Linked DNA regions of Macaca fascicularis. The protein of the gene in region 3 purifies or fractionates together with the protein of the main gene of each other region. This does not show direct contact. Links are inferred from orthologs where the notes say so. Each region holds a gene or a part of one and is shown on either strand. Other genes may lie near its edges.

Region 1 (5,535 bases), on a different chromosome or scaffold from region 3:
GGGAGGCTCAGGCAGGAGAATTACTTGAACCTGGGAAGCGGAGGCTGCAGTGACCTGAGATTGAGCCACTGCACTCCAGCCTGGCAACAGAACAAAACTCCATTTCAAAACAAAAAACAAAAAAAAAACCTGTCAAAATATTGAAACCCTCTTGCTTCATCCTTTATTCTACAGTTAAATTTGCTGCATCTACGTACCTTATAAATCCCAGAGTATATGCTGTTATAATTTTTGTTTTAAAGTTAAATGTGGCCAGGCGCAGTGGCTCACATCTGCAATCCCAGCACTTTGGGAGGCCGAAGTGCATGGATTGCCTGAGGTCAGGAGGTCAAGACCAGCCTGGTCAACATGGTGAAACCCCATCTCTGCTAAAAATACAAAAATTAGCTGGGCGTGGTGTGGGTGCATGTAATCCCAGTTACTCGGGAGGCTGAGGCAGGAAAATTACTTGAACCTGGAGGTTTCAGTGAGGCGAGAGGTGCCACTGCACTCCAGCCTGGACAACAAGAGAGAAACTCCACCTCAAGAATAAATAAATAAATAAAAATAAAGTTAACGCTGGGCATGGTGGCTCATGCCTGTAATCCCAGCACTTTGGGAGGCTGAGGTGGGTGGATCATGAGGTCAAGAGATTAAGACCATCCTGGCCAACATGGTGAAACTCTGTCTCTACTAAAAATACAAAAATTAGCTGGGCATAGTCTCACACACCTGCAGTCCTAGCTACTCAGGAGACTGAGGCAGGAGAATCGCTTGAACCCAGGAGGCAGAGGCTGCAGTGAGTCGAGACTGTAACACTGCACTCCAGCCTGGCAACAGAGTGAGACTCTATCTCAAAAATAAAAATAAAAAATATATAAATAAATAAAATAAATAAAGTTAAATGTATTTGGCCAGTTGTGATGGCTCACACCTGTAATCCCAGCACTTTGGGGGGCCAAGAAGGACAGGTCATTTGAGGCCAGGAGTTCAAGACCAGCCTGGCCAACATGGCAAAACTCCGTCTCTACTAAAAATACAAAATGTAGTTGGGCATGGCGGTGCACACCTGTGGTCCAGGGTACTAGGGAGACTGAGGCATGAGAATCACTTGAACCTAGGAGGCAGAGGTTGCAGTGAGCCAAGATCGTGCCACTGCATTCCGGCCTGGGCGACAGAGCAAGGCTCTGTCTGAAACAAAAACAGAAACAAAAACAAAACCCTGCAATGGCTCCCTATGTCACTTGGAATAAAAGCTAAGGCCTGGCCGGGCGCGGTGGCTCAAGCCTGTAATCCCAGCACTTTGGGAGGCCGAGACGGGCGGATCACAAGGTCAGGAGTTCGAGACCATCCTGGCTAACACGGTGAAACCCCGTCTCTACTAAAAAATACAAAAAACTAGCCGGGCGAGGTGGTGGGCGCCTGTAGTCCCGGCTACTCGGGAGGCTGAGGCAGGAGAATGGCGTAAAAACCCGGGAGGCGGAGCTTGCAGTGAGCTGAGATCCGGCCACTGCACTCCAGCCTGGGCGACATAGCGAGACTCCGTCTCAAAAAAAAAAAAAAAAAAAAAAAAAAAAAAGCTAAGGCCTACCAATGGTCCCAAGAGGTCTCACCAGTTCCCCTCTGACCACACCTTGTACAACTCGCTTCCTCACTGATCCCAGCTGCAGTAGTCTCTGCTGTCTGTTAACTCATCAGATATATTGTCACCTGGAGGTCTTTGCCAGAGTCTATGTACCTAACTTCCTCACCTTCTCCCAAGTGTGATGCACCTTCTTAATAAGGCTTACCTCCCTCCAAACCTGGCACTCCTGATTAGTTTATCCTGTGTTGACTCTTTTTTTTTTTTTTTTTTTGCATTTATGACTTGTTTTTAAACATACTATTTATTATGACTTTTTCACATCTATCTCCCTACTAGGATACACATTCCACAAGGGCAAGGATTTTGTCTCTTCTGTCCACTGCTGTATTTCCCATAACTGACTGACTGAATGCTAAGCACCACAGAGGAGGAGCAGATAAAACCTCTTATAGTAGCAGGAGACACCAGAGGAACAGAGAGGCCAGCCCATTGTTGGGCCTCTGCCTACATCCCTCCAGTACACCCTATACTTCTCTATCCCTGTTCATTACTTTCTAGCCATGCAGGCCTTCTTGATTCTTGCGTATAGTTAGACCGTCCCATTACAAGGCTTTGCTCTAGCTGTCCACTCAGCCGAGAACACTCACTCTCTCTTCTTTGCCTGGCTGGATCCCTCTTGTCATTCAAGTCTCTACTTAAATGTGGTGTCTTCAGAGCAGCATTCCCTGCCACACAATCTGATATACCTTAGTCACTTCCTTATTTTTTCTTGAGATGGAGTCTCGCTCTGTCACTCAGGCTGGAGCGCAGTGGTTCCATCATGGCTCACTGCAGCCTCAACCTCCCATGCTTAAGTCATCCTCCCACCTCAGCCTCCCGAGTAGCTGGAACCACAGGCCTATGCAACCACGTCTAGCTAATTTTTTTATTTTTGTAGAGATGGGGTTTCACCATGTTGCCTAGGCTGGTCTCGAACTCCTTAGCTCAGGTGACTGTGTGGGCCTCTCAAAGTGCTGGAATTACAGGTGTAAGCCACGGTACCCATCCATTACTTTCTTAACACATCATCCTACTTTAACTCTGTATACAGTTTTCATTACTACCTGAAATTTTGTTGGTCAATTTTTATTTTTATTTTTTGACACAGAATCTGGCTCTGTCGCCTAGGCTGGAGTGCAGTGGCATGATCTTGGCTCACTGCAACTTCTGCCTCCCAGGCTCAAGCCATCCTCCCACCTCAGTCTCTTGAGTAGCTGGGACTACAGGCCCGTGCCACCATGCCCAGCTAGTTTTTGTATTTTTTTGTAGAGACAGGGTCTCACTTTGTTGCCCAAGCTGGTCTTGAATTCCTGAACTCAAGCGATCTGCCTTGCTCGGCCTCCCAAATGCTGCCTATGAGATTACAGGTGTGAGCCACTATGCCAGCCTTGTCAGTTCTTTTCCACAGCTGTCCTCATCTGCCCTATGAAATTCTAGACACTTACACATGCTACAAAGTAGCTCCAGAGAGACTTTACTGTCCTATTTGCTGCTGTATCTCCCGCACCTGGAACAGCGCCTCACATGAACAGGTGCTCAATAAATACTTGTTGGGTGGACGGAAGCAGGTGAACTGGGTCCCATGGGTGGGCAGAATTCACTCTGTCTTCCAAAGGGCATCAAGCAGTCCCTGGGGACTTTAAGATGCCAATCTACGGGGAAGAGAAAGCTCCTATGTTTGGGGTGAGAGAGTATGTCTCACCTCTGAATGGTTTCCTCCTGTTCCTTAACCATGTGTGCCAACTGCTGAAAGATGGAGCCCAGCTCAACAATTGTCGACTCAATGTTCTGCATGGTGTCTGCCCGACTCTGGATGTAGGAATCCTTCAGGAGAGGGAGAGAGCACATGAGCACCATCAGCTTCTTCAGGGTCAGACCTGCATCTTTACAGCCCTCCCAGCTTGCCATTCTGCCCATGGCACACTCCAGACACTCTCTTGGGAACCACAGAGGATAATGGAGAAGCTGATTCTCCCTAGTTCAGAGCCTGGGTACCTGCTCGTCAATGAGCTGCAGCTGCTGGCTGGTCCGAGAGTCCATCATGTCGATGGCAACATCCTTGGAGGCATGGGACTCTGCCCCCAAAACCACAGCACCACCCCCTGGGGAGAAAACAGGACGTGGCACATCTTCACAGTTAAAAGCAGGTTCAAAGCCCACATGCTCTGGGTTTGAATCCCAGCTCTGGCACTTACTAGCCTTGTGACCCTGGACAGGTCATTTAACCTCTCTGAGCCTCAGTTTCCTCACCTGTAAAATGGGGGATAATAATAGTTGCTTTCTCAAAGGGTGGTTGTGAAAATTAAATGAGAGAATGTGAATAAAGGTAAGTGTATGAAAAAAATTAGAAATTATCATTCTTCTGAATACAACTGAATTCACCCCAACAGTGAGAATGTGGGAGTCTAAATGTGGATCACGAATCTCAACCATCTGGTTCGGCCTCTGAGAGATAGAGCCTAGAAACTTCCTTGACCCTCCACTCTCCTACCCAACCCGTGCCTTCAGAGGATGCCATCACAACCAGAGTAAGTAACCTTACCTCCCAGGGCTTCCCGTTTTACCTCTGACTTACCCAGGTGGTTAGGGGCAAGGGGCAGGGCTGACACAGGTGCCCGGGAGAACTGCTCTCTCCGGCTCCTCTGCTGCTTCAGGTTCTGGGGTTGGGGAAAAACGCAAAGGACCTGAAGCCACTAGAAAGCAGGCATGTTAATGAGACTCCCACCATTGGCCCCATGACCCTGTAGAACCTGTACCTTCCCCATTTCCTCTTGGATCTTTACCCCCATATTCCTATCCCTCCTAGGCAAATTGTTCTCACCTCAGTCCTCACTTCTAAAACCGATTTGAAGTCATTGGACATAGAAGCCAGTTTCGACTAGAAGAAAAGGAGAGACGGTCAACCAAACAAGACTCCACATTCTTCCCCTTTGCCTCCTTCCCTTCCTCCCCAGCTCCCACCTGCAAGGAGACCACAATGGTGTTGGAGTGGGTCTGCAGGTGCCGGCCACTCTGGCTGCCCTTGGCCCTCACGAAATCCTGGAGCTGAGCAATTTGTTTGTTGAGGCTATTGATGTCCTGGTAAAAGAGTCCAGGGAAAAACAAAGTATTAGCCAAGGAGTCCTCAGTCAGCATCTCTCTCGATGGCCATCTCTGGTAGGAAGGGCAAGGTGGAAGTTACTAGCTAGAGTGAGAGTATCCCAGACAGTTAGACCAGATGGGCCTGCTAGGATTTTCCAAGGTCTATTGTTTGCTCTGGCTCAGTTCCTGCAGAGAAGAGCTAGAAAGAGGCAAAGTAGGCCTTGATCCATTTGTAAATAACTTGTTTACTCCTCCAGCCTACTGCCCTGCTCCATTCTGTGAGGCCATGCTCTTGGCCACAGAACCCTTTCAAAGGCCAAAATCTTGGGTCTAGAGCATGACCAACAAAGCCCCTGGACAGCACTCAGGAAAAGGGAAGAGTCAAAGGCACTGTAGCTTCAAGAGGCATCAACAGAATTATATTTATACACACAATTCCTCAGTGGCTCACATCTGTAAACCCAGCACTTTGAGAGGCCAAGGCAGACAGATCATGAGGTCAAGAGATTGAGACTATCCTGGCCAACATGGTGAAACCCCATCTCTACTAAAAATACAAAAAATTAGCTGGGTGTGGTGGCGCATGCCTATAGTCCCACAGTCCCAGCTACTTGGGAGGCTGAGGCAAAAGAATCACTTGAACCTGGGAGGTGGAGGTAGCAGTAGGCCTAGATCGCACCACTGCACTCCAGCCTGGCAACAGAGTAAGACACCATCTTTAAAAAAAAAAAAGAAAAGAAAAGTTATTATTGGCCTGGCGCTGGGGCTCACGCCTGTAATCCCACCACTTTGGGAGGCTGAAGTGGGCGGACCACCTGAAGTCAGGAGTTTGAGACCAGCCTGACCAACAT
Region 2 (6,020 bases), on a different chromosome or scaffold from region 3:
TGGAGACCCAACGCAGGCAGCTGCTACCATGCTTGGAGACCAGGGTACAAGCCCCTGACGAGCTCGCCGTGGCAGACAAGCACACTGGTGCCTGAGGAACGACAGGCGCCTGCAAAGGGACATCCGAGAAGGGGGAAGCACCAGCCCAGCTAGGTTTCAGGGCAACAGCAAAGCCCCAGAGACATGGAGGCAAGTGAGTCCACCTTGCTGGGTGAGAAGTGAGCTCGCACTGCATAGGGGAAGACGGTGGACCCCACTCCTCCAGGAGGCTGACAGCCTCAGCCAGGTACAAAGGAGGGCTCAGGTAACAAGGAAGGGGGCTATGGTGAGCGTGCATGGAGAAAGGTGGGCTTGCTGTGTGGAAGGAAGAAGGAGGGGAGGGGAAGGGTGAGCAAAGTGGGGCTGCAGGTACCAGGCTGTGGCTCATCTGTGGTCAGCCTGGAGCTCAGAGGCAGTTCTGGATTGACAGGACACACAGTGTGGCCACACAGGTTGCGGGACAGTGATCCCATAGTCCCCAGGGAATGACTGGGAGGCAGAAGATTGGAACAGCACAGAGAAGGGCACAGAGCTTTAAAGGTGTTTTTAGGCCAAGGGGGCAAGGACCTCATCTTGGGGTGGGGAAAAGCCGTTGCCCTGCCAGTCTAGTTGTTTGAACATGAGCCCAGCCCAGTGGACAGGGAAGGCCCAGGGAGAGGTGGGTAGGGAGGGTATCCTGCAGAGGCTGGGGACAAGGAGGATGGCACAGAACGCCATCACAGCCAGAGGAGTCTGGCAGGGCTTGGCAGAGGCGCCAGAGTTACCAGCAAGCTAGATGGCAACAACTGATAGCCTCTCAGGAACCTTCTTGTGTAGACCCACAATGGCTCCCCGGCCCTGCCTGCTTTGCCTGACTCTGAAATGCCAGAGAGGCCCATTTCTAGGTCTGTTCTTCTGAAAACACATCTCTGGTGCTGGGTAGATTCTGAATCCTGAGAATACAAGTTTCTGCTCCTGGATACACAGTCACAGGACCCAGAAGGATCCCACCCAGTGGCTAGGCCAAGGCTGCAGTCCACTCCTTCATCCACAACCCGTTCTCCCCAGGGGTCTCACTTCATCCGCAGGACTGGAGAGTAGGCACAGAGAACTCACAGCAGGGTGGCCCGCACTGGTCTCCTGTGCTCAGCAACCATGGCCAGGAGTAACTGCCATCTCCAGGCTGAGAAGCCTCAGTTGGAGGAGATAGCACCCACTTAGGGTTCACAGCCCCTTCCTGTGTCAGTTCCAGGAACCTTGGATCACAGACATGGCCTCATCCAGACAAGGACACGACCGTGGAGCCTTCAGATGTCAGCGTCCCAAGAGCTGGGAGAAAGGCTGCAGGCCACAGGTGGCCACGCCTGGGATTCAACAGTTGCTCTGCTCAGACCTGGCTCCTCCAGACACGCTGCGGCCCCAGCTCTGCTTGTGTCTCTAGCATCTGGGGAAGGGGGGAGGGGCTGGGCCTTGGTTTCCCCGAAAGAGTCCCTTCCACACATGGGACCAGCCAACATGAGCTCATCAGGTCACAGGCAGCCGCAGCCTCCTGCCACACAGAAAGGATTCCTGGCCCACGATTATAATTTCAAAGGAGTACTTTGCAGGTAAGTCCTCTGGAGCCCAAGATGCCAGGCAGGGAAGACAATGGCTGCCCTTGGCACCCACAGACACCAGCTCCCACTGTCTCACGTCCTTGCCCTCGACAAGAAGTAGGAGAGGATGAAGAAGGCCACAATCAGACCCACAGCCATGCCACATAGAAGCTTCCGGTTGTCTCGTCCGGACCTTGCCATTGCGGAAAAGCGCTTCACACTCCCTGTAAGCAGGCCGGTCATGCTTGTGAAATCCGAGTCCTAAGGGAAGAATCCCGGCAAGATCACACAGAAGTGGTGATTTGACCACCCACCCGCACCAGTGCTGAAGGAGACACTGCAAGCTCTGTAGCAGGTAGTGCTGGGGGCAGGGCACTGATTCGCGCACACCGTGGGCCCTTACCATGCCATCCAGGTACCGGTTCTGATCCTCTGCATCCCTATCGATGTCCAGGGCGAGCTGTTCAGCACACAGAGAGGGCAGGGTTGGGCCAGAGCAGACACATAATACAGCACTCACCCTTCCCAGACCAGACAAACCCTGCCAACAACTCTGCCAGACACAGTGGGGCAGCAGCAGGAAGGTCCAGGTGTCAGCTGGGGCCTCATGCAGGTGAGCACAGCCACGAATCGAACGAGGAGGACGGCAAACTGCCTGAAACTCCTCTGGGCCCTCTACCTTCCCTCTGATCCCCATTCCCCAAGGGCACCAGGTGGAGGTAAGAGGACAGACCACCACTGACCGATTTGAGCCTGGTGACTTTGGAGGCCAGGCTGTCGGCCATTCGCTTGTTCTCCCGGTCTAGAATCTCTTCCACAGCGCCCGGGCTCTGAGCTGAGAAAAGAGAGGGGCTGAGTGATTGCATCCATCGGGGAGCGAGGCCTCTGACCCCTCTCACTCCAACCACAACTGGGTGAGTCAGAAATCTAGGGGCCCTAACCTAGGTTCCAGCAGGTGAATCTTGCACATGTGAGAGAGACTGCATAAAGGACGATGTGTGCAAGGGCCTGTCATGTGAACACGTGTCCTGTGTACACATCCAGGTGGGGATGGGCCAGCACCCACAGTGGGTTCAGTCCAACCAGCACCTTCTGAGACTGTGTAGCAAAAACTGGGCCCAGCTCTGGGATGTTAATAAGATGTGACACTTGCATCCAGGGAGGTCGCCATCTGTGTATGTGGAGCCCATTCTTATAGAAAAAGAGTAAACTCTGCTAAGAGCATAGGAAAGACTTGGGAAAAGTACCCAGCAGGGCAGCAGAAAGGCTCCTGCAGGGACGACCTTTGAGCTGGGTCCTGAAGAGGTGGCAAGGAACCAGGACAGAACATTGGGAAGGCCCTTTACCGCACAGAAAACAGCTGAGCAAAGTTCCCAATTCCGCGAGATGGGAGCTGAGGTCGACCAGGAGCGTGATCCCTGGTCTGCATCCCACACAGGGCTTCCTGCAACACCCAGGGCACAGCGCTTGCAGAGGCCCGGCCTGTGACAGGCTGGGCCAGGTGATAAGGAATTTCTGTCACCTCAGGTGGGTGAGAACCACCTTCTCCCTAGCTTCAACGTTAAGGAAGGGATGCCAGCGTCCTTCCAACCACTTCCTGTTCATTAATTCCTTTACTCATCATAACTCAGACAGGCATCAATATCCCACTTTGCAGAGAAGAACACGGGCTCCAGGAGGGGAAATGGGGCCACCGAGGCCCAAGTTAGTTAGCAGAGGCCTGCCTGGACACCAGCGGAGCACAGCCTACTCCGAAGGCCTGGCCTCGGGACCTGTCGAATGCCGAGACTCCCGCTCACCCTGAACCCATGCAAAACGATCTCACAGGGAGCGGCGGGGAGTGGGGGGACCCCGCAGCTGCGCGAGCCCTCGCTGGAGCTGCTGGGCCGCCCCGCCCGCCGTCCTTCCTAGCGGCAGTGCTGGCCGAAACCCGGCCCTGCTGGGACCCGGAAGGATCCGAATCCGCCCCCCTGACAGGGTCCTCCCCGCCGAGGCCAGAGGCAGGCGCACGCGGCTCTACAGGCAGCGGCGTCGGTTCCGGCCCGGCCCTGCCCCCAACGGCTCCGCTCTCCCGCGCTCACCCCGAGCCCAGTCCGCCATCGTGCCCTGCCCCGGCTCCTCGACGCCAACACCGACGCGGCCACAGCCGCCTCAGACGTGGCGCAGTCACGGGGAACGGGCTTCCGGCCCCGCCCCCCGCCAGCGATGGCCCCGCCTCCGCGCCAACCACGCCCCTAGATGGCGTCGGGCTCGCTGATTTCCGGCTTAGGCCCGAGGGTGGGGAACCGCGGGGTCGCGGAAGCGATGGGCGTCGCTGTGACTTATTTTCAGCACTGTCGCCCAGGCAGTGGCGCGATCTCAGCTCACTGCAGCCCCCGCCTGCCGGGCTCCCAAGGTGCTGGGATTACAGCAGCACCGCGGATGTGACGTTTGTTTGTTGTTCCTGTGAACGTGGGGCGGGGCGGGGCCGTTTGCTTGCTCAGTGCCAAGACGATGGTGGTGGAAAGACGCTGCCATGCGTTAGGTCCTAACGGTTAGGAAGGATTCACAGGCGGGTCATGAGGGAGGAGTAGGCCCCTCGGGCAGAAGCCCGCGAGGAGCCCTGGGTGTGGAGGGGGCAAGGGTGCCTCCTCTGTCAAGTGGAGATCGGCGCCTCGCTAGTGCCTGCGAGTGCGCGCCGCGTCGAATACAGGTGTGCGGAAAGCGCTACAGGAAAGTGAAGCAGGGAAAGAGACTGGGAGGCGGCACGGGGAGTGGGGGCCGTAGACGCCTTTGCTCCCGGGCACTTGTTACAAGAGCCAGTGGACCGCGCTTCCTGTGCGTCACTGAATCCTCCTGATGGCCACTGAAACGGACACGCAGGATCTTTGCTTGTCAAGAGGGAACTGAGTCCAGGCCAGACTGCGTTGCTCCCCTTTCTCTCGGCCCCTCACGGCCCTTCCACCTTTGCAAGTGCTGCTCCTTCTGCCTGGAGTGGCTCCTCCAGTCTTTTCCCGGCTCGCTTCCCATCGTCCAGTGTTAGCAAAAACACCACTGCCTCACAGCCCTTGCAGCCCAGCAGTCACCTTTTGCTTCTTTTGAAGCACAGCCCTGTGACCGCCTCATGTCCTTTTGTTTTTCCTTGTCTGCCTTCCCCTCTGGAACATAAGCTCCACAAAGGCAGGGGCCTGGGAGTCCCGTTCGCTTGCATTCCCCAGCAAACGCCTAACGAACCCAATGGCCCGGGACTGAAAAGTCCTTTCCACTTCGGCTTTCCCGTCTACATCCCATCGGTTCTGTGGAGCTCGAGGGGCGTCACTGTGTGTGTGGCAGGGCGCGGTGGGGGCTGAGATCCTTTCCTGTTGGAAATTCCGGCCCAAGAAGCCCCGGTCACAAGGAGGGGGATCAGTCCGGTTCAGGGCGACTTGGCCCGACTCGGGTCTTCCGAGCCGCCAGTGCTGCCTCAGGCCGCGCCCCCTTGAAGCGCCACCAGACGCCGCGTCCCGTCCCGGCCTCCCCCGCGCGCTGGCGCGGGGCTTTCTGGGCCAGGGCGGGGCCGGCGAACTGCGGCCCGGAAAGGTTGAGGAAGGGCCCGTCCCGCCTTCCCCGCGCCGGGTTCCGGGGGCGCCATGGAGCCCCGGGCGGTTGCAGAAGCCGTGGAGACGGGGAAGGAGGATGTGATTATGGAAGCTCTGCGGTCGTACAACCAGGAGGTGAGCGGCCGCCTGAGGCCGGGGGGCGGGCACGGAGGGGGTGGGGCAGGGTCGTGCGCGGGTGGTCGGGACGGTGTGGGTGAGGCAGGGGTTGTGTCAGCAAGCAGAGGGGACGCGGCGGCGTGGGGGTGGCACGTCAGGGATGCAGTGTTGGGGGGAGAGTGTCTGGGGTGCACCCGTTGGGTGGCAGGTGTGTAGGGATGGGGGCGAGTGTAGACCCTGCCACCCCTTCTGAGCAGTGGCTGCTGCCTGAGTTAGAGGCCAATAGGCCGCCCCCCGTCAGCGGGCGCGGATACTGCCCCTCTGTGGACTTGAATTCACTCGTTCTCTCTGCAGCACTCCCAGAGCTTCACGTTTGATGATGCTCAACAGGAGGACCGGAAGGTGGGTGCTGGCCCGAGGGGTAAAGGGACAGGGACGGGTGGCCCCAGGAAGAGGGGCCTGGTGGAGCCGCTCGTCTCCCTGCCCACAGAGACTGGCGGAGCTGCTGGTCTCCGTCCTGGAACAGGGCTTGCCACCCTCCCACCGGGTCACCTGGCTGCAGAGTGTCCGAATCCTGTCCCGGGACCGCAACTGCTTGGACCCGTTTACCAGCCGCCAGAGCCTGCAGGCACTGGCCTGCTATGCTGACATCTCTGGCTCTGAGGGGTCCGTCCCAGACTCCCCCGACATGGATGTTGTACTGGAGTCCCTCAAGTGCCTGTGCAACCTCGTG
Region 3 (5,535 bases):
AGCAATCTTTCCATATTAGGAAAAAGAAAACTACATCATTCTTTTTAATAGCTGCATAGAATATTATCTTATGATTATCACAATTTAATAAATTCCCTACTGATAAACAATTTAGTTGTTTTCATTTTGTTTCCTATTAAAAATACTGCAAGATCCAGGCATGGTGGCTCATGCCTGTAATCCCAGCACTTTGGGAGGCCAAGGTGGGTGGATCACTACAGGTCAGAAGTTCGAGACCAGCCTGGCCAACATGGCGAATCCCCATCTCTACTAAAAACACAAAACTTAGCCAGTGTGGTGGCACGCACCTGTAGTCCCAGCTATTTTGCTCAGAAGGCTGAGGCAGGAGAATCACTTGAACTTGGGAGGCAGAAGTTGCAGTGAGTTGAGATCATACCACTGCACTCTAGCCTAGGCAACAGAGCGAGACTCTGTCTAAAAACAAAACAAAAAAGATACTGCCAATAAACATTCTTATATGTATTTTTTTAACTGAGCTCTTTTTTTTTTTTTTTTTTAAGTATATTTAGGCCAGGCATGGTGGCTCACACCTGAAATCCCAGCACTTTGGGAGGCCGAGGCAGGCAGATCACGAGGTCAGGAGATGGAGACCATCCTGGCTAACACAGTGAAATCCCATCTCTACTAAAAATACAAAAAATTAGCCGGGCATGCTGGCAGGCAACTGTAGTCCCAGCTACTCAGGAGGCTAAGGCAGGAGAATGGTGTGAACCCGGGAGGTGGAGGTTGCAGTAAGCCGAGACCACGCACTGCACTCCAGCCTGGGTAACATAGTGAGACTCTGTCTGAAAAAAAAAGAAAAAAAAAGTGTATTTAAAGAGTAAATGTCTATTAAGTTCAAAAGAGCTTAAAAAAAAAAAAAAAAGGAGTAAATGCCTAGCAATAGAATAATTAGATCAGGGCTGGGCACGGTGGCTCACGCCTGTAATCCCAGCACTTTGGGAGGCTGAGCTGGGTGGATCACGAGGTCAGGAGTTTGAGATCAGCTTGACCAATATGATGTAACTCCATTGCTACTAAAAATACAAAAATTAGTCGGGCGTGATGGTGCATGCCTGTAGTTCCAGCTACTCGGGAGGCCAAGGCAGAAGAATCGCTTGAACTCGGGAGGCGGGGGCTGCAGTGAGCCGAGATTGCACCACTGTACTCCAACACTCCAGCCTGGACAACAGAACGAGACTCCATCTCAAAAAAAAAAACAATAACTGGATCAAAGAATGTTACATTCATTTACATTCTGGTAGTGCTAAACTGCCTTCTAGAAACATTACATCAATTTATGTTCCCACCAGCAATATAGGAGTGCCGTTTTTTAATTTTTATTCTTGCCAATAATGGGTTATAAATGTTTCAACATTTGCTAACCTGACAGGTGAAAAATCACCTCTTTTAGATTTCTGTATTTTTATTTGGAAATACTGCTGAAACTGTTTTTATAGTTTTGGCCACTCATTTTTTGTAAGCAATTTTACACCCTTTGTCCATTTTCCTAGTGTCTTTTTCTTATTTCTATTATTTCTCTGTGTAGTAAGCAAATTAGTCATTTGTTACAGTTTCCAGTATCAAGTCTTATTTAGAAAGTCCTTTCTGCTCAAAAGTTTATAAATTTCACCTCTGCTTTATGGTTTCTTTTTCTACACTTCTTGGATCCATTTGGAATTTGTTCTGGATGTGAGGATTGAGATAGAATTTTTTTTTTTAAATCCCTGAATAATTAGGCAATGGTTATAGTTCCATTTATTTTATAATTTCTCTTTGCCGCACTGATTTTAAACAACATCTTTATCAGAAACTAAAAATTTCCATACATAATTGGGTCTACATATAAACTCTACTCTGTTTAATTGTTCTTATTTATTTAATTATTTTTCCCTCTAGTATCAAACTGTTTCAACTATTTCAGCTTTTTAACAGGTTTTAAGATCTGGGAGAACTACAAACCCTCTACCACTTATCTTCATTTTCAAGTTGTTCTTCTTGGTTGTTCTTGTATGTCTATGATTCCAAATGAACTTTGGTATCATTCTGTCATTTGTTTTTAATTAAACAAACAACAAAACAACCCTGCTGTTTCCACTGGGATGCCATGCAATTCAGACGAAAGTCTTCCCATCCAAAAACGGACTGATTCTTTCCTTTACTTAAATCTTGTTCTATGTCCCTCAGTAGAATTTTGCACATACAAGTCCTACACATTTCTTATTTAATTCATACATAAATACTTTATAGTTTCTTCCATTATATTTTCTAACAGGTTATCATTTATTTCCTATCATAGTAGGAAAACTATTTGCTTTTATGTATTCATTTTATAATCTACCATCTTACTGAATTTAATTGTTTCTAACTTTTTATCAGGTAATTTTCCTGGGTATACTAGACATAAAATTTTATCCTGCTACCTCACAGAAATTTTGCCTCTTCCTTTCCAATATTTACAACTTTTTTTTTTTTTTTTTTTTTGAGACAGTCTCACTCTGTTGCCCAGGCTGGAGTGCAGTGGCTCAATCTCGGCTCACTGCAACCTCCACCTCCTGGGTTCAAGGGTTCAAGCTATTCTCCTGCCTCAGCCTCCCAAGTAGCTGGGATAACAGGCACCCACCACCATGCCCCGCTAATTTTTGTATTTTTAGTAGAGAAGGGGTTTCACCCTGTTGGCCAGGCTAGTCTCCAACTCCGGATCTCAAATGATCCACCCACCTCAGACTTCCAAAGTGCTGGGACAAGAGGCGTGAGCCACCATGCCCAGCCTACATTTCATTTCTTTTTACTGTCTAATTGCACCATCAAGAACTTCAAAAACAATGTTATGCATTTGTAGTGATCATGGGTATCCTTGTGTTGTTTTATTCAATGGGAATGTTTTTATTGCCTGGCTTATTTTTGTACTTTAGTAGAGACGGGGTTTCGCCATGTTGGCCAGGCTGGTCTCCAACTCCTGACCTCAGGTGATCCACTCACCTCATGCCTCCCAAAGTGCTGGGATTACAGGCATGAGCCACCGCGTCTGGCCATCTATTCCTACTTTTAAAAACAGTTTTTAAAATTAGAAATAGTTGCTGACTTTTCACAGTATTAAAAATATTTGTGGCTGGGTACAGCAGCTCATGCCTGTAATTCTAGCACTTTGGAAGGCCGAGGTGGGTAGACTGCCCACACACAGGAGTTAAGAGAACAGCCTGGGCAACATAGTAAAAACCTGTGAACAGAGGAGTTACAGACCAGCCTGAGCAACACGGCAAGGACGTGTCTCTGCTAAAAAACTTTTAAAAAATTGGCCAGGTGTGGTGGCATGTGCTTGTGGTCCCAGATGCTCAGGAGGCTGAGGTAGGAGGATTGTTTGAGCTTGGGAGGTTGAGGCCGCAGTGAGCTGTGATTGCACTACTGCACTCCAGCCTGGGTGACAGAGAGACCCTATCTCAAAAAAAAAAAAAAATTGCCTTCCTATTTGTACTACTATATTTTTAACATATCCTCCATTTAAATCTTTAAGAGTTTAGTTTTATTGGTGCATAAACATTTATTGTTTTCTCAAACAATACACTGAGTATAGTAAATAAGTCATCTTCAAAGCCAGATGAAAGCACACTCTAACCCACAATGTTACTGTCTATACATGACCATTGACTAGTTCACGGTTACAGCTAGCTAGCTAGGTCTCCCAGAATGGAAGTATATTACCCAGTGATGAATATTAGTCAACTTCGCCAGGAAATAGCAAGAGCTATTAGATATTTTCAGAATTTTATAATGGTGACCAAAAAAAAAAAAAAGTAAAACAAGTCCCTCTAGCATGGCATTTATTTTCTCAGATGTTTCTCTTTGTCATTTTAAATACATGTGCATATATCCAATGCAGAGATTAAAAAAAAAAAAAAAAACCCGAACTCCTGTGATAATGAAAATGTCTCGAGCCCAATATATTACCTGCAATATGTCTCTATGCCGCTGTAATGTATGCATCAGGGCCGCATTCAAGGAGGGGACACCTGCACTGTTGGTATATTCTGCCATTTTATCGTTTACCCCTGTAAGCTAGAAATAAAGAAAAAAAAATATTTTACTAAGCACTATAAACAGCTAAAAGCAAATTATTTGCCTATATGCCCTTTTGGTTGACAGCAAAACAAAACAAAACAAAAAACAAACAAGATATCAAGTAAGAATTAAGCATTCCCCCACATAATCCATAAAGACCAAAATAACATCGTATCACCTGAGAATGGCTGTCATCAAAATTCAAGTGGTGTGGGGAGGTACACATCTTGAATGGAATGGATAATTTCATTAAACATGTCTGTCTCAATACAATCCAGGATCCTATCTAACAAGTATACAGTTATTTGCAAAACAGCCATTTAACAAAGCACTTACCCTTGCCAAAAGTTGTTCAATCTCGATCGCCATTGTCTCAAACATTCTGTCTTGGCTTGATCCATTTAAAAGAGGTGTTGTATCAGAACTAAAAAGAAGTTCAGTTAAAGAGGATCCATTACTCAAATGCAGTCCTTTAAAACATACTTAAAATAATAAGGTAATTAATATGAACCATAAAATGAATTATGGATTATGTTATATAGGGTCTGTGAGAAACAATCTTTTACATTTTTACCTCAAAGGAATTATGGTTCCTTCAACCTCAACTTTAAGTTCTCTCTTCTTTCCTTGACTCTTACCAAGAGGAAATAAGATTGAGGTTTAAATGATCCACAGATTGGATAACTAGCTAACGAATACTCAGGAACTGGCTTTACATTCAATATATACAGCCACCTGCATACTTTGGTACTAATCTTCTACATTTCCACTTACAGTATGCAGTCATCTTTTTGTTTCGTAGAATTGTGTTAAATTGCCTTTTCAAATCTGAATGGTCAAAAATCTATCTTTTTATAAGTGAAACTTATGTTTGACAGATTCAAATTCTAAACCCACCTGTCCTGAGTGTTTCTTTTGCCTTTTCTAAAACACCACTAACTTTCATCAGGTTAGGTATGTATTAGCATCCAATGAGCAGCTCAATACAGATCGGAGTTATACTGGACACAGATAAATGCCCAGGCAATGACTATGCGCTCCAATCTTACTGAAGACTTTGTCCTACCCTGTGACAGTGCCTGGGTGTGGCAAATGAAAAAGATTAAAAAATGCTCTGTAGACTACTAATATAAATCCTCCTCTACCAGATATATGAAAAAGAACAATATGCCAATAGAATTAAAGCTTCATGAAGGGAGGAAAAAACTGCTCTGTCTTATTCATTGATATATGCCTAGCACCTAGTATAGAGCCAGGCACATAGTAGATGCTCACTAAATGTTTGTTGAATGAATGAATGAGAGAGCAATCTCTACTACTGGTTATTCCATACTCCTTATATTCATATATTCATCAGGACAGTGTAAGACTAAAGGGAAATGGCCAAAAACTAATTCTTCACAATACTAGGATTCAGTTAAATTTAATTCATCTTATAGGTGGGTAATGAATGATTCATAGACCTTGAAGTTTTCA
Region 4 (6,118 bases), on a different chromosome or scaffold from region 3:
ACTGCTATAGCACTGTTATTGATTTATTTATTTTTAATTTTATTTATTTATTTAGAGACAAAATATTACTCTGTCACCCAGGCTGGAGTACAGTGGCATAATCACAGCTCGCTGCAGCCTCCAAATCCTGGGCTCAAGAGAGTCTCCAGCCTCAGCCTCCTAAGTAGCTAGGACTACAGGCACATGCTACCACATCTGGCTAATTTAAAAAAATTTTTTTTAGAGATGGGGTCTCGCTATATTGTCCAAGCTAATCTCAAACTCCTGGCCTCAAGTAATCCTCCCTCCTCGGCCTCCTAAAGTGCTGGGATTACAGGTGTGAGCCACTGAGCACAGCCCAGAACTGTAATATTAATAAAAAGTTATAAAAAGACAAATTGCTGGTCATAAGAGACAGACCTAGTTTCAAATTCAGATATTGTCATTTGTTAGCAGGGCAATTACTTAACCTTTATAGTTTGTTTCCTAATACATAACATGGAAATGATCCTGGTGCTTCAGAGTTGTTATAAGATAATGCATATAAAGCACTTTTCATACTGCCTGGAACACAGTATGTACTCAAACGTTAGCTATTAATATTACTAACAGTTGACTTAAATGATCCCCTTGGGGCCAATGCCCAATCAATAGCTAAATCTTACCAATTCTATCACCAAGGAAACCTCTCCTATCGTTTCCTTTCTCTTCATGTTCACAGCCCTAACTGGTATCTCTGATTCCAGTCTCTCTCCCTTTGAATTCAACTCACACTTTCCTAAAGAATTAAATCCAAGCCCCTTAGCTTAGCATTTAACGTCCTTCATGTTTGGGCCCCAATTTACCTTTCAGTCCTTTTTTTCCCACTACTTTCTGGAATCCACCACTCTAGCCAAATTAAATTACTCTTCTAGATATACCCTATGCTTCCCCACTATGATGCCTGTTCATTTTATTCCCTCCTGGAATGCTCTTCTCTTTACCTTCAAAGGTCCAAATCTTTCCATCCTCTTTCCAGACATAACTCAAATGCCATAATGCCTTCTCAATTAAAAACAATCTCTCTCTCCCCAGAATACCTTCATGTTATTTATATGTCTTTTATAGCACCAATCCCTTTTAACTTTATATTTTGCTTATGTACTCTGCAGGTTCTCTGTTGAAAGATCCATGCCAGTTCTTACACTTACTACATACTCAAATAAATGTATGTTGAAGGCTAGGCGTGGTGGCTCACATGTGTAATCCTGGCCTATTGGGAGGCCAAGGTGGGTGGATCACTTGAGAACAGGAGTTCAGGACCAGCCTGGACAACATGGTGAAACTCCATCTCTACAAAAAATATAAAAATTAGCCAGGCATGGGCCAGGCGCAGTGGCTCATGCCTGTATTCCCAGCACTTTGGGAGGCCAAGGCAGGTGAATCACGAGGTCAGGAGATCGAGACCATCCTGGCTAATACGGTGAAACCCCGTCTCCACTAAAAATACAAAAAATTGGCCGGGCGCGGTGGCTCAAGCCTGTAATCCCAGCACTTTGGGAGGCTGAGATGGGCGGATCGCGAGGTCAGGAGATCGAGACCATCTTGGCTAACACGGTGAAACCCCGTCTCCCAGCTACTTGGGAGGCTGAGGCAGGAGAATGTAGTCCCAGCTACTTGGGAGGCTGAGGCAAGAGAATGGCATAAACCCGGGAGGCGGAGCATGCAGTGAGCTGAGAACCGGCCACTGCACTCCAGCCTGGGCGACAGAGCGAGACTCCGTCTCAAAAAAAAAAAAAAAAAAAAAACAAAAAATTAGCCGGGCGTGGTGGTGGGCGCCTGTAGTCCCAGCTACTCAGGAGGCTGAGGCAGGAGAATGGTGTGAACCCAGGAGGCGGGGCTTGCAGTGAGCGGAGATTGAGCCACTGCACTCCAGCCTGGGCGACACAGCAAGACTCCATCTCAAAAGAAAAAAAAAAAAAATTAGCCGGGCATGGTGGTGCACACCTGTAGTCCCAGCTACTTGTAGGGCTGAGGCAGGAGGACTGCTTGAGCCAGGGAAGTTGAGGCTGCAGTGAGCTGAGATCATGCCACTGCACTCCAGCCTGGGTGACAGAGTGAGACCCTGTCTCAAAACAAAAATTTAAATGTAAATTTAAAAATGTATGTCGGATCTACATTTGGGAGTATTCTGGTTTTATATATATATATATATATATATCAGCATGTATATAATATTCATTCAACATGTATCCATCTATCCATCTTCATGTGTATATTATATATTAAATATAATATTATATATGATATATATAATATTGAATACAAGTTGAATGAATATTTTGCAAATAGATATTAAAATCAGATTTAGCTTCAACAAGAAAATTTCAGCCTTGAACTAGAATTTTCTGATCTAACCTGTATTACAGCTCCTTCACAAAAGGAAACTGGTACAAAAAGTACTACACTTTCTAACCAGTGGTCATATTATTTTTTTTTAGTTCTGGATTTTAAGAGGTCACATACCCTTCCTTTCACTTCCAGAGTCTCAACTGCTTTTGATCAGAAACTTCTCAAATTCTACAATATACATTTAGATTTAAAAGCAAAGTGAGCCTGGGCAACATAGTGAGACCCCATCCCTACAAAAAATTTAAAAATTAGCCTGGCATGGTAGATGCATCCTTGTAGTCCTCGCGACTCAGCAAGCTGATCAGGAATTCAAAGTTATAGCCAGCTAGGATCGTTCTACTTCACTCAGATCACTGCACTCTGCCTGGGTGACAGAGCTAGACTCCGTCTCTTAAAAACAAATTTAAAATATTTAATTTTTTAAAATTAAAAAAATTAGGCTGGGCACAGTGGCTCACGCCTGTAATCCCAGCACTTTGGGAGGCTGAGGTGGGAGAAGTGCTTGTGCCCAGGGGTTTGAGACCAGCCTGGCCAACACAGCAAGACTTCATCTCTACAAAAAAGAAAAATTTTTTAAAGTTTAAAAACTAAAGCAAAGTGATATTATTTAAAATACAGAATTGTAATTCAGGACTAACTAGTTCTACCTATTAACAGAGTACACCAAGCTCACAAAACACAATAATAAACAATAAGGATGATGACCACCATTCTTTCCAAGTAAAGCTGTTGCTGATCTCCTGTTTATAAGGCTCCAAGATGATTTTCAAGCCCAAGAAACACCCTGTATTTGACTCATTCAGCTATAGTTTCACTCAGACCCTAATGGGGAGGAGGGAGTTTTAAGACAAGCAATACCATTCTGAATTCCACCAACAACTCTACCATGCATTACTTGCTCTGTGGTTGTGGCTAAGTCTCTTAGCTTCCCTGTGTACCAGATTTGTTCAAGAGCAGCTAAGTAGGGAAGGAAAACAAAAGCCTCATCTGCCTGAAATCCAAAAATACACCCCAATGCTTTGTTACAAAAGACAAAATAATGTAAGTTGAAATGTTGCTGGTGAATTATCTTTATTAAAACAGAAGTCATCCCACCTCTCAAATACCAGTCATTGTGTCTGATTTCCGAATTCATTACAGGAAGAACTGTGTATGAAGTCATCCAAACACATGCACTCTCCACTTCCCTTAATTGAAAGTTGCTGATTTCCGAGGAGCCAGGGGCTGAGCAGAATGTAAACCTAAAGCCTAAATCAGTAAACAACCCCATCCAAACTGGCCTAAGAGGAAAGCGAGGTGGGTGGGGAGGAAGGTGGATGACAGGAGAAACTCGGCTGACCACTGCGCCAAGTCAACGCACTCACAGCTCTCGAGATGACACACACTCCCCTTCCCACCCTCGGGCTGTTTTGGTCCCAGCACCGTGGGGGCAGAACTCCAGAGAAGCAGCTCAAGCTTCAGCTGGGGCCGGGGACCCTCGGGCAGCCCGGGCCTGACAGACTGGGGGAGGCAAGCCCACCGCCCCCAGGGTGGACAGCCCGAGACAGCCCCAGGTGTGGCCTCGGCCGTAGTCCCAGCCGGGCTCCGCGACCCGGCAGTCTCACCCAGGCCTGTCCCGGGGACAGCTCCCGCCCCCCAGCTCGGTACCCCGGCTCACTGGCTTGGCTGATCCGCTGGATGTTGCCGCTGCACGTCTGGATGATGCTGCTGAAGTCCCGGAGCTGGGGCCCTGAGGGCCCCAGGTTCCGGTACATATCTAAGGGACCGTATGACATGACGAGGAGCTGAGACCTGCTCGCCCTACACCACTCTCCTACCGGAAGCAGCCGCCAGCCGGGACCCGCAGGCTGACGGAGAAACTGGGAAGACCAAGGGCGGGGAAGAAGCTAAGGCTGCGTGCGCACTAGTCCCGCCCCCACGCAGCGCGCACGCGTCCTCCCCGCCCCTGTTCAAAGTGCGCAGGCGCCGCTGGGACTGGGGCTGGGACTGTATCTTAGAGACAGGACTGCCCGGGGCTTGGGGGTTGCGGGGCGGAGAGATGACGTCACCTAGTTGGGGCTGAGATTGGATGAGCTTGGGTGGAGGTGTTGTTTCTCGCCAGGGCACATTGACAAGAGGCAAGAATTTTCGATTTGCATAAAACTGTACCAGATGATCTCAGCCCTTACATCCTATTCTGTTTTGAGAATTCAGGCCCAAATATGGGAGTATTCAACGTTGAAACTCAGACCAGGAACCAAATCGTAACCCGAAATTCCTCTCTACTTCCATCCCCAGGGTTTTGGTAGTATTTGGGGTTTCCAAACCGCTTTCATTTCTCCCTCCACCCCTCTTCTAATCTAAACAATAAAATAATAATGTTTATTAAGCACATATTATGTGTGAATCCTCACCGCAATTCACTTGTTCATAAGATTTTTCACAGCAAGGGACGATGCTCTATCTACATTTTTATCATTAGAATAGATAACGGAGAGCCGGTTTTTTAAATATTGAAGTAAAGTAACTCATCAATGTTAGCATTATTATTTTCCCTATTACCGATGAGAAAATTAAGACCAGCGAGGTTACTTCGCCTTGCTGAAGTTTGACTGCAAAAGCCAAACGCTAAGCTGACTCTCTCCTCACCTCGCTACTTCTCTAAAATTCATTCTCATCGAAATCTCTCCCAAATAGCTCGTTCATCTATATCCCAAGCCGGGATTTCTTGGAGAACTAGATTCCTAAAATTTAAAAATCATACCCTTAAATACTTTGGAATGCATGACCTCAATTTTCCTACAGAAGACTGCATTTCTGTAAGCGTATGTTAAAAGGAAAGACATAGGATTTTGGTTTGGGAGGAGATCAAGATGGTGAGAAGTGAAGGGGAACTGGCTGTTTCCTGTGTTCTCCACCCCACCCCAGCCTGCTTTGCAGTCTTTGGAAAATGCAAAGACGGAAAGCTGCTTGCCTGGGTGAAAGGAGACCCCAAGTGAATGAGCCTGTATATGGCCTTAGGGTTTTTTCTTTATTTTATTTTATTTTTTTTGAGACAGGGTTTCGCTCTGTCACACAGGTTGGAGTGCAGTGGCATGATCTCCGCTCACTGCAACCTCCTTCTCCTGGGCTCAAGAGATCCTCCTACCTCAGCCTCCAAGTAGTTGGGACTACAGGCGTGCGCCACCACGCCCAGCTAATTTTTATATTTTTTGTAGTGATGGGGTTTGGCCATGTTGTCCAGGCTGGTCTCGAACTCCTGGGCTCAAGTGATCACCACCAGCCTTAGGATTTTTTAAGGGTGGCTATCTCTATTTTTCGTTGGAGAATTTGAGAGCATTTTTTTCCCTCTCTCTAGAAAGAGATGGATGACATCTGGGGGCTCTTGTTTTGGTTATTTTATTTTATTTTTGAAATGGAGTCTTGCTGTGTTGCCCAGGCTGGAGTCGAATGGCGCAGTCTTGGCTCACTGCAATTTCTGCCTCCTGAGTTCAAGCAATTCTCCTGCCTCAGCCTCCCGAGTAGCTGGGATTACAGGCATGCACCACCACAGCCCGGCTAATTTTTGTATTTTCAGTAGAGATGGGGTTTCACCATGTTGGTCAGGCTGGTCTTGAATTCCTGACCTCAGGTGATCCACCCGCCTTGGCCTCCCAAAGTGTTGGGATTACAGGTGTGAGCCACCGCACCAGCCTGTTTTGGTTATTATTATACAACCTTACTGTTTCTTAGAATCTGTAGTTTTATGTCAAATCTTATAGCAAGTCAT
Region 5 (5,998 bases), on a different chromosome or scaffold from region 3:
CTGGAAGGAACTGAGATGAACACACCGGCTCTTTTTTTCAAATACTTGGAGAAAACGGCCGTGGGACCACAGTTAAGAGGGTGGCGGTTTTCCAACACACCTAGTTTGCCAACAGCCTTCCCAAATGTAGTGCCCAGAGATGGTCATGAACCTTGAGGAGAAACTACCGAGGTAAGACAGCAAAGGGGCTAAGTGAGAAGGCTCTGGAATCACACAGAACCGGGTTTGAATGCCACCTCTCCCACTTACCATGTGGCTGGGCAAGTAAGTCAACTTCTCTAAGCCCCCAAGTTTCTCTACCTCCACGGGGATTTTGTGAGGACTAAATCCATACCATCTATCAGCAGGTTGAGCCTGGCCCAGGCCTGGGTCCGAGTCAGAGCGAGCACTTAATAACCTGCATCTGCTAGTATTACCGGCAATGCAACAGCCTCCTGCCGTCACTCTCCCCCACACCAGCTGCTGCAGTCCTTTCTAGAAGGCAAACAGCAGCTCTCCAGGATGGGCCTCCCTTAGCCTCCTCGGAGCTCTTCAGTGCCTCCTCCAGGCCCAGCCCTTGCTCACCAGGCCTTCCTAGTCTGGCCTCACCTGCCGCTTCCACCTTTATGGTCTAACGTGTAACTCCCTGTGTTCCATCTTCCTAAGGCATACTCCATCATAACCCCTGCCTGGAGTGCTGCTCCCTGCCAGAGAGCACCCAGAACTCCTGTTCATCCCCCTGGGGTTGGGGCCTCTCCCCCAGGAAGCCATTTCTGATCCGTGTGGATCTCAGTTCCCTGTCTTTCCAGGCAGAACTTCCCCTCATGCTAGATCTCTGTTGCACCATCCCTGCTGCCTAGAGCACCCTCCCTGGCCCCACTCCCCAGCAAGTCCTGTGGTTCCTTGGGACCTAGCTCACTCCTCACCATGAGCTTCCCCCTGGTTCACACTGCTTCCTCTGAGCTCAGACAGTCACAGGAATGATATAATCGAGCCCTTCCTTACAGTAGGTAATTCCACTTTACTAGCATTTGCTGTGCATCCTGCCTTCCCAACCAGGTAGCAAGTGCCTTGGGGCTGACTTAGCTGCTCCCTCCAAGCACACAGTCCAACAGCCCACTAATCCCTGGGCCAAAGGGACCAGACACCCAGAGCCACCTAGGAAAACTATCACCAAAAATCCAGCTCGTGGCCCCACCCCCAAACACAGCACCTGAACTTCTCCCCTTGTGAAGAAAAAGAAAACACACACACACCCTCTGTCTCCTCGCAGCCTCTAAAATAAAATATTTTTCACCTAATCAATACAGTCCATCAGCCCCAGATGTTTCTCCACACCAGGCAATTCACCATCATGTTCTTCAAGTTCTTTTGCTAAACATTATCCAACCTCAAACAAGGGGCGTGGCCCAGAGCCCTTTTCCTGTTCCTTCCTCTCTTGGAAAGATCCCTCCCCTTTGTGTCTTACCGGCCTCTGCCAGGCTCCTACCCCAGTCTCTTCCCATCCCCAGGCCCTCCTCCCAAACCCCCTTCTCCAGCCTTCTGCAGACACTCCCAGTCCCACCAACTTCCCCAGGCTCTGCTTCTGAGGGGCCACCACAGACCGTTCTCTCTACAAGTCCACTAGTCCTTTCCCAGTCCTCCCCTCAGTTTCCACAGCCTCCCCTTGACCTTTTCGGGTCCCCCCATCAGCACAGATCCCACCCCCCCCACACACCACCACCCCCTGCCAAACTCCCTTTACTTCCTCTGCCCAGAGCCTCATGCTCCTCTCAACCCTACTAAGTCTTCGTGGCTCCCTTTACTGCTCCCTTTCAGCTCCTCTTAGCACACCCATGTTTCTGTCTCTCCCTCTCCTGACCCCTCCCAGACCTCTCCTCTCGGGCGCCCACCTTGAACCCCATCAGCTCTCTGCACACTCCAAACCTGCTTCCTTCTGGGAAGTCCATTAACAATAGCTAACACTCTCAGAGATGTAACTCCACGCCAGGCTCAATTCTAACACTCACAGCAAATGGGAGGCAGGTTAGATTTGTGATCTCCTTTAACAGGGAGACTAAACCATTTACCCAAAGTCATGAAGTAAGTGGCAGAGCCACATTTCAAACCTGGGCTCTTAATACTTTTAAGCCACTAAAATTATCACAGGATGGTGGTGTCAGCTTTTAGGAGCTACCGTGAGTTTTATGCCATGTCACATGCGTTAGTTCTGTCTCCCAAGCCTTTTCCCATCCCTCTTCTCAGCATGTTCCTGTCATCCCCATTACTCGAGGATCACACAGCAGGAATTTGATCCCCAGTTTTGATTCTCTCAGTCCCCGTCTCTCCCTGTTATCCCTCCATCTCCTTGGCCAAGCCACCACCACGCGTTCCCCCACCCAGGAGTCTCCGGCCTCAACCCAGGCCTCCTCAGGTTTTTTTCTTTCCTTTTTTTTTTTTTTTTTTGAAACGGAGTCCCACTCAGTTGCCAGGCTGTAGTGCAGTGCAGAGGCGTGATCTCGGCTCACTGCAACCTCCGCCTCCTGGGTTCAAGTGATTCTCCTGCCCCAGCCTCCCGAGTAGCTGGGATTACAGGCACCCGCCACCAGGCCCAGCTAATTTTTGTATTTTTAGTAGAGACGGGGTTTCACCATGTTGGTCAGGCTGGTCTCGAACTCCCGGCCTCAGATGATCTACTCACCTCGGCCTCCCAAAGGGCTGAGACCGCCACAGTCTTGACTCCATCATCCCGGTTCCTCTGCTCAGCTGTCCTTAAACTAGTCACTGCTAACCAGGGCCGTACTCACCCCAGGCACCCCCCACACTTCAGACGCAGCTCACTGCTCCTAGGATCATCTAAGCCCTGAGCCCCTCCAAAGGTGTCAGCCCCCTTCAGCCTTCACCCTCACTGCCCAGGGCCCACGCAAATCCACTGCCCCGGGGGATGAAAAGGTCAGTCCCTCGGGCAGGCGTCCTCAGCCCCAGGCCCCATCACTGCCGCCCGAGAGCCTTCACATTCCCCTAGAGCTCTGAAAAGCCTCCGGACCTGGCTTATCTCGCGGACTCCCTCCCTGCCCCCAAGCCGGTCCCCTCCAAGGCTTCAGGACGTATTCCCTCGGTTCAGGTTCTCCCCCTCCCGCTGGCCTGTCTTCGGCCTGGGTCCCCTTCCTCGCCTCAAGACAGGGTCGCCTCTGTCCATGTGTCCTCAGCCCAAATCCCTTCCGCCATGTCAGACCGTCTCTCCTCAAACCGTGTTGCCCCGGCCCAGGCTCTTGGCCCTCAGCCTGTGTAGCCTCTGCCGCTTCAGGCCAAGTCACCTCATTCCAGGTTCCTCTCCGTCCCCTCGGCCCGAGCTCTGCGTGCCCTAACCCGCCACCTCCGACCGTGACTCCTTCGTCCTCTCAGCCTAGGTCCCGGCCGACCCCTCAGCCCGGTTCTCACCCAAAGAGGCCAGAGAAGAAGGACTGCGAGTTCTTCACTTTGCGCTCCGCCTCGGCCAACAGCGCCATCGCCTCCGCTTCTTTCCCGGAATTGTCCATGGCGGCCACAAAAGGACTCAGCAAAGCGCCCGACACTGGCCCTGGGAAGACTCAGCCGCGGCCGGGCCGCGGAACACAGATCGGGAGAAGTCGCCCGGCTGCGTTGACGTCGCACCGGCGCGCGGCGCCTGCGGCCCGGAATCACGTGACTCGCGCTGGCCAACCAGAGGCCTCGTAGCGCGGCGCCCGCTCCGCCGGCCACGCCCCCACCAGCCGCCGCAAGCCGCCCGTGACTCGGGACCCCCCAATCGGCGTCCCGAGACCTCAACGCATGCGCACACACAGGACAACGACGCCCCACTTTCTCCTCAGCGCTCTGTACCTCACCTCCCACGTGACCCTGCGGAAGGCAATGGCAATACTCACCGCCGAGGCCCCGCCCCACGGTGTTGCCGCTGGATCCTCCTCCACCAATCAGCAGCAGCCCTCGGCTCGCGTTGTTAGGGGGGCCACCCCGCGCCCTCCCTGAAGTACTCCGGCAGAGTCAGCTGACCGCGGACACTCACGTGACAACTCGGGGCCCAAGCCCGGGTTTGACAGTTCTGCGCAGAGCTTAGTCCCGCCCCACGGCTGGTCTCGCCCGTTTCTTCACTTGGAAAAGCGTTTGTGGGAAAAGGAAACCGTTCTGCTTTTTCTTGCTCCCTCTACCGGCCAGTACTGGAACTGCTTTGGGGAGACCGGTGAAGTAGTTGAGAGACTGGAAACAAAAACTTAAGAGGTTCTCTAACTCTGGTTTCATAAAAAATAGATGAAGAGGGCCGGGCGTGGTGGCTCACGCCTGTAATCCCAGCACTTTAGGAGGCCGAGGCGGGCGGCTCACCTGAGGTCATGAGTTTGAGACCAGCCCGGCCAACATGGCGAAACCCCGCTCTACTAAAATACAAATATTAGCCGGGTGTGGTGGCTCACGCCCGTAATCCCAGCTACTCGGGAGTCTGAGGGAGGAGAATCGCTTGAACCGAGGAGGTGGAGGTTGCAGTGGGCCGAGATCGTGCCACTGCACTTCAGCCTGGGTGACAGAGTGAGACTTAGGAAAAAAAAAAAGCTGAAGACAGCGTGTTAAAAAATTCCGATTCGAAGATGGGCGCGGTGTCTGGTGCCTGTAATCCCAGCTACTCGGGAGGCGGAGGCGGGAGGATCGCTTGGGCCCAGGAGTTTGAGTCCGGTTCAAGTCCCGCCTTGGGCAGCATAGCAAGACTCTGTCTCTAAAAAAAAAAAAAAGTTCAGATTCAAACACACCTCCTGCTGCCCCAGAAAATTGAGTAGTTGGTTTTTGAGACAGGTCTCACTCTTTGGGTTGTTGGTTTTGGAGACAGGGTCTCACTCTGTCGCCCAGGCTGGAGTGCGGCAGCACAATCATAGCTCACCGCAGTATCACTTTGTAGTGCCAGAGAGGAAGGAAGTATTCCACACGTGTGCTCACACACAAAATTAGGGGGTATGCCAGGGTGCCAACTGAAAGAGCTCCCAATGGCCAAAGCTGGAACAATTTGAGCAGCAAAATAAAGTAGTATTGCGTTATAATCCCAAATATAAAGTATCCATGAGCCTGTGGTCATAAAGATGAATAGAGAAAAATAAAGGGGGGAGAATAGACAAATAGTTTGTGCAGAAGAATTCCAAATAATCTGTGTAGATACTCTGCTCTCAAGAAGGTGAAGGATACCTCCCCATTCTGTAAGTATGGACTGTGCATAGTGACATCCTTTCAAAGAGGAGGGTGCAGGAAAGGGGAGAAAAAGACTAAATTTACAGTGGAGAAACCAGACTTTGACATCCAGGTTGTTGGGTTAACCTCAACATTGATAAGTCATGTGATTAAAATGGCTCTTTACTTCTGGGATCTTTCAATCTAATCATGAAAAAAACACTAGACAAATTCCCATTGAACCACATCCTCCAAAACACTTGCCTAGTACTCCTCAAAACTGTTGGTGGGCGCAGTGTGTCACCTGTAGTCCCAGTACTTTGGGAGGCCAAGGCAGGAGGATCACTTGAGGCCAGGAGTTCGAGACCAGCCTGTCCAACATGGCGAAACCCTGTCTCTACTGAAAATACAAAAAACTTGGCTGGGTGTGGTGGTACATGCCTGTAATCACAGCTACTTGGGAGGCTGAGGCAGGAGGATCACTTGTACCCGGGAGGCGGAGGTTGCAGTGAGCTGAGATCACCTCATTGCACTCCAGCCTGGGCAACAAGAGGGAGACTCAGTCTCAAACAAGTAACACTGTCAAGTCATCAAAACAAGGAAAGTCTGAGAATCCGTCACAGCCCAGGATACATGGATGCTAAATGTAATGTCTTACCTTGGGTGGGATCCTGGGACAGAAGGGCATTAGGTTAAAAAAAACCAAGGAAATCGGCCGGGCGCAGTGGCTCATGCCTGTAATCCCACTTTGAGAGGCTGAGGCGGGTGGATCACCTGAGGTCAGGAGTTCGTGAGCTGCCTGGCTTTCGAGAGCAGCCTGGCTAACATGGCAAAACCCCATCTCTACTAAAAA

The links.
Region 1: the proteins of GOSR1 (region 3) and STX5 purify together in Homo sapiens (affinity purification with western blotting; 3 studies listed by BioGRID, with this or other methods). This does not show direct contact. The link is inferred for Macaca fascicularis from reciprocal best matches to the Homo sapiens genes GOSR1 and STX5.
Region 2: the proteins of GOSR1 (region 3) and BET1L purify together in Homo sapiens (affinity purification with western blotting; 3 studies listed by BioGRID and IntAct, with this or other methods). This does not show direct contact. The link is inferred for Macaca fascicularis from reciprocal best matches to the Homo sapiens genes GOSR1 and BET1L.
Region 4: the proteins of GOSR1 (region 3) and STX12 purify together in Homo sapiens (affinity purification with mass spectrometry; 3 studies listed by BioGRID and IntAct, counting the BioPlex papers as one, with this or other methods). This does not show direct contact. The link is inferred for Macaca fascicularis from reciprocal best matches to the Homo sapiens genes GOSR1 and STX12.
Region 5: the proteins of GOSR1 (region 3) and NAPA purify together in Homo sapiens (affinity purification with mass spectrometry; 3 studies listed by BioGRID and IntAct, with this or other methods). This does not show direct contact. The link is inferred for Macaca fascicularis from reciprocal best matches to the Homo sapiens genes GOSR1 and NAPA.

Annotation. Positions count from the first base shown.
Region 1 is NC_088388.1:11,223,916-11,229,450, reverse strand, and holds part of STX5 (syntaxin-5), read right to left. Parts: intron 4,682-5,535; coding exon 4,565-4,681; intron 4,482-4,564; coding exon 4,425-4,481; intron 4,261-4,424; coding exon 4,179-4,260; intron 3,706-4,178; coding exon 3,599-3,705; intron 3,428-3,598; coding exon 3,306-3,427; intron 1-3,305. UniProt on the Homo sapiens protein: Mediates endoplasmic reticulum to Golgi transport.
Region 2 is NC_088388.1:84,842-90,861, forward strand, and holds the start of BET1L (BET1-like protein), read right to left. Parts: upstream 3,791-6,020; 5' UTR 3,714-3,790; coding exon 3,695-3,713; intron 2,449-3,694; coding exon 2,357-2,448; intron 2,074-2,356; coding exon 2,017-2,073; intron 1,875-2,016; coding exon 1,707-1,874; 3' UTR 1-1,706. Other genes in the region: RIC8A (chaperone Ric-8A), read left to right, coding at 5,222-5,305, 5,642-5,689, 5,778-6,020. UniProt on the Homo sapiens protein: Vesicle SNARE required for targeting and fusion of retrograde transport vesicles with the Golgi complex. Required for the integrity of the Golgi complex.
Region 3 is NC_088390.1:36,006,902-36,012,436, reverse strand, and holds part of GOSR1 (Golgi SNAP receptor complex member 1), read right to left. Parts: intron 4,484-5,535; coding exon 4,396-4,483; intron 4,057-4,395; coding exon 3,949-4,056; intron 1-3,948. UniProt on the Homo sapiens protein: Involved in transport from the ER to the Golgi apparatus as well as in intra-Golgi transport. It belongs to a super-family of proteins called t-SNAREs or soluble NSF (N-ethylmaleimide-sensitive factor) attachment protein receptor.
Region 4 is NC_088375.1:207,289,034-207,295,151, forward strand, and holds the start of STX12 (syntaxin-12), read right to left. Parts: upstream 4,259-6,118; 5' UTR 4,146-4,258; coding exon 4,028-4,145; intron 1-4,027. UniProt on the Homo sapiens protein: SNARE promoting fusion of transport vesicles with target membranes. Together with SNARE STX6, promotes movement of vesicles from endosomes to the cell membrane, and may therefore function in the endocytic recycling pathway.
Region 5 is NC_088393.1:55,532,834-55,538,831, forward strand, and holds the start of NAPA (alpha-soluble NSF attachment protein), read right to left. Parts: upstream 3,628-5,998; 5' UTR 3,498-3,627; coding exon 3,400-3,497; intron 1-3,399. UniProt on the Homo sapiens protein: Required for vesicular transport between the endoplasmic reticulum and the Golgi apparatus. Together with GNA12 promotes CDH5 localization to plasma membrane.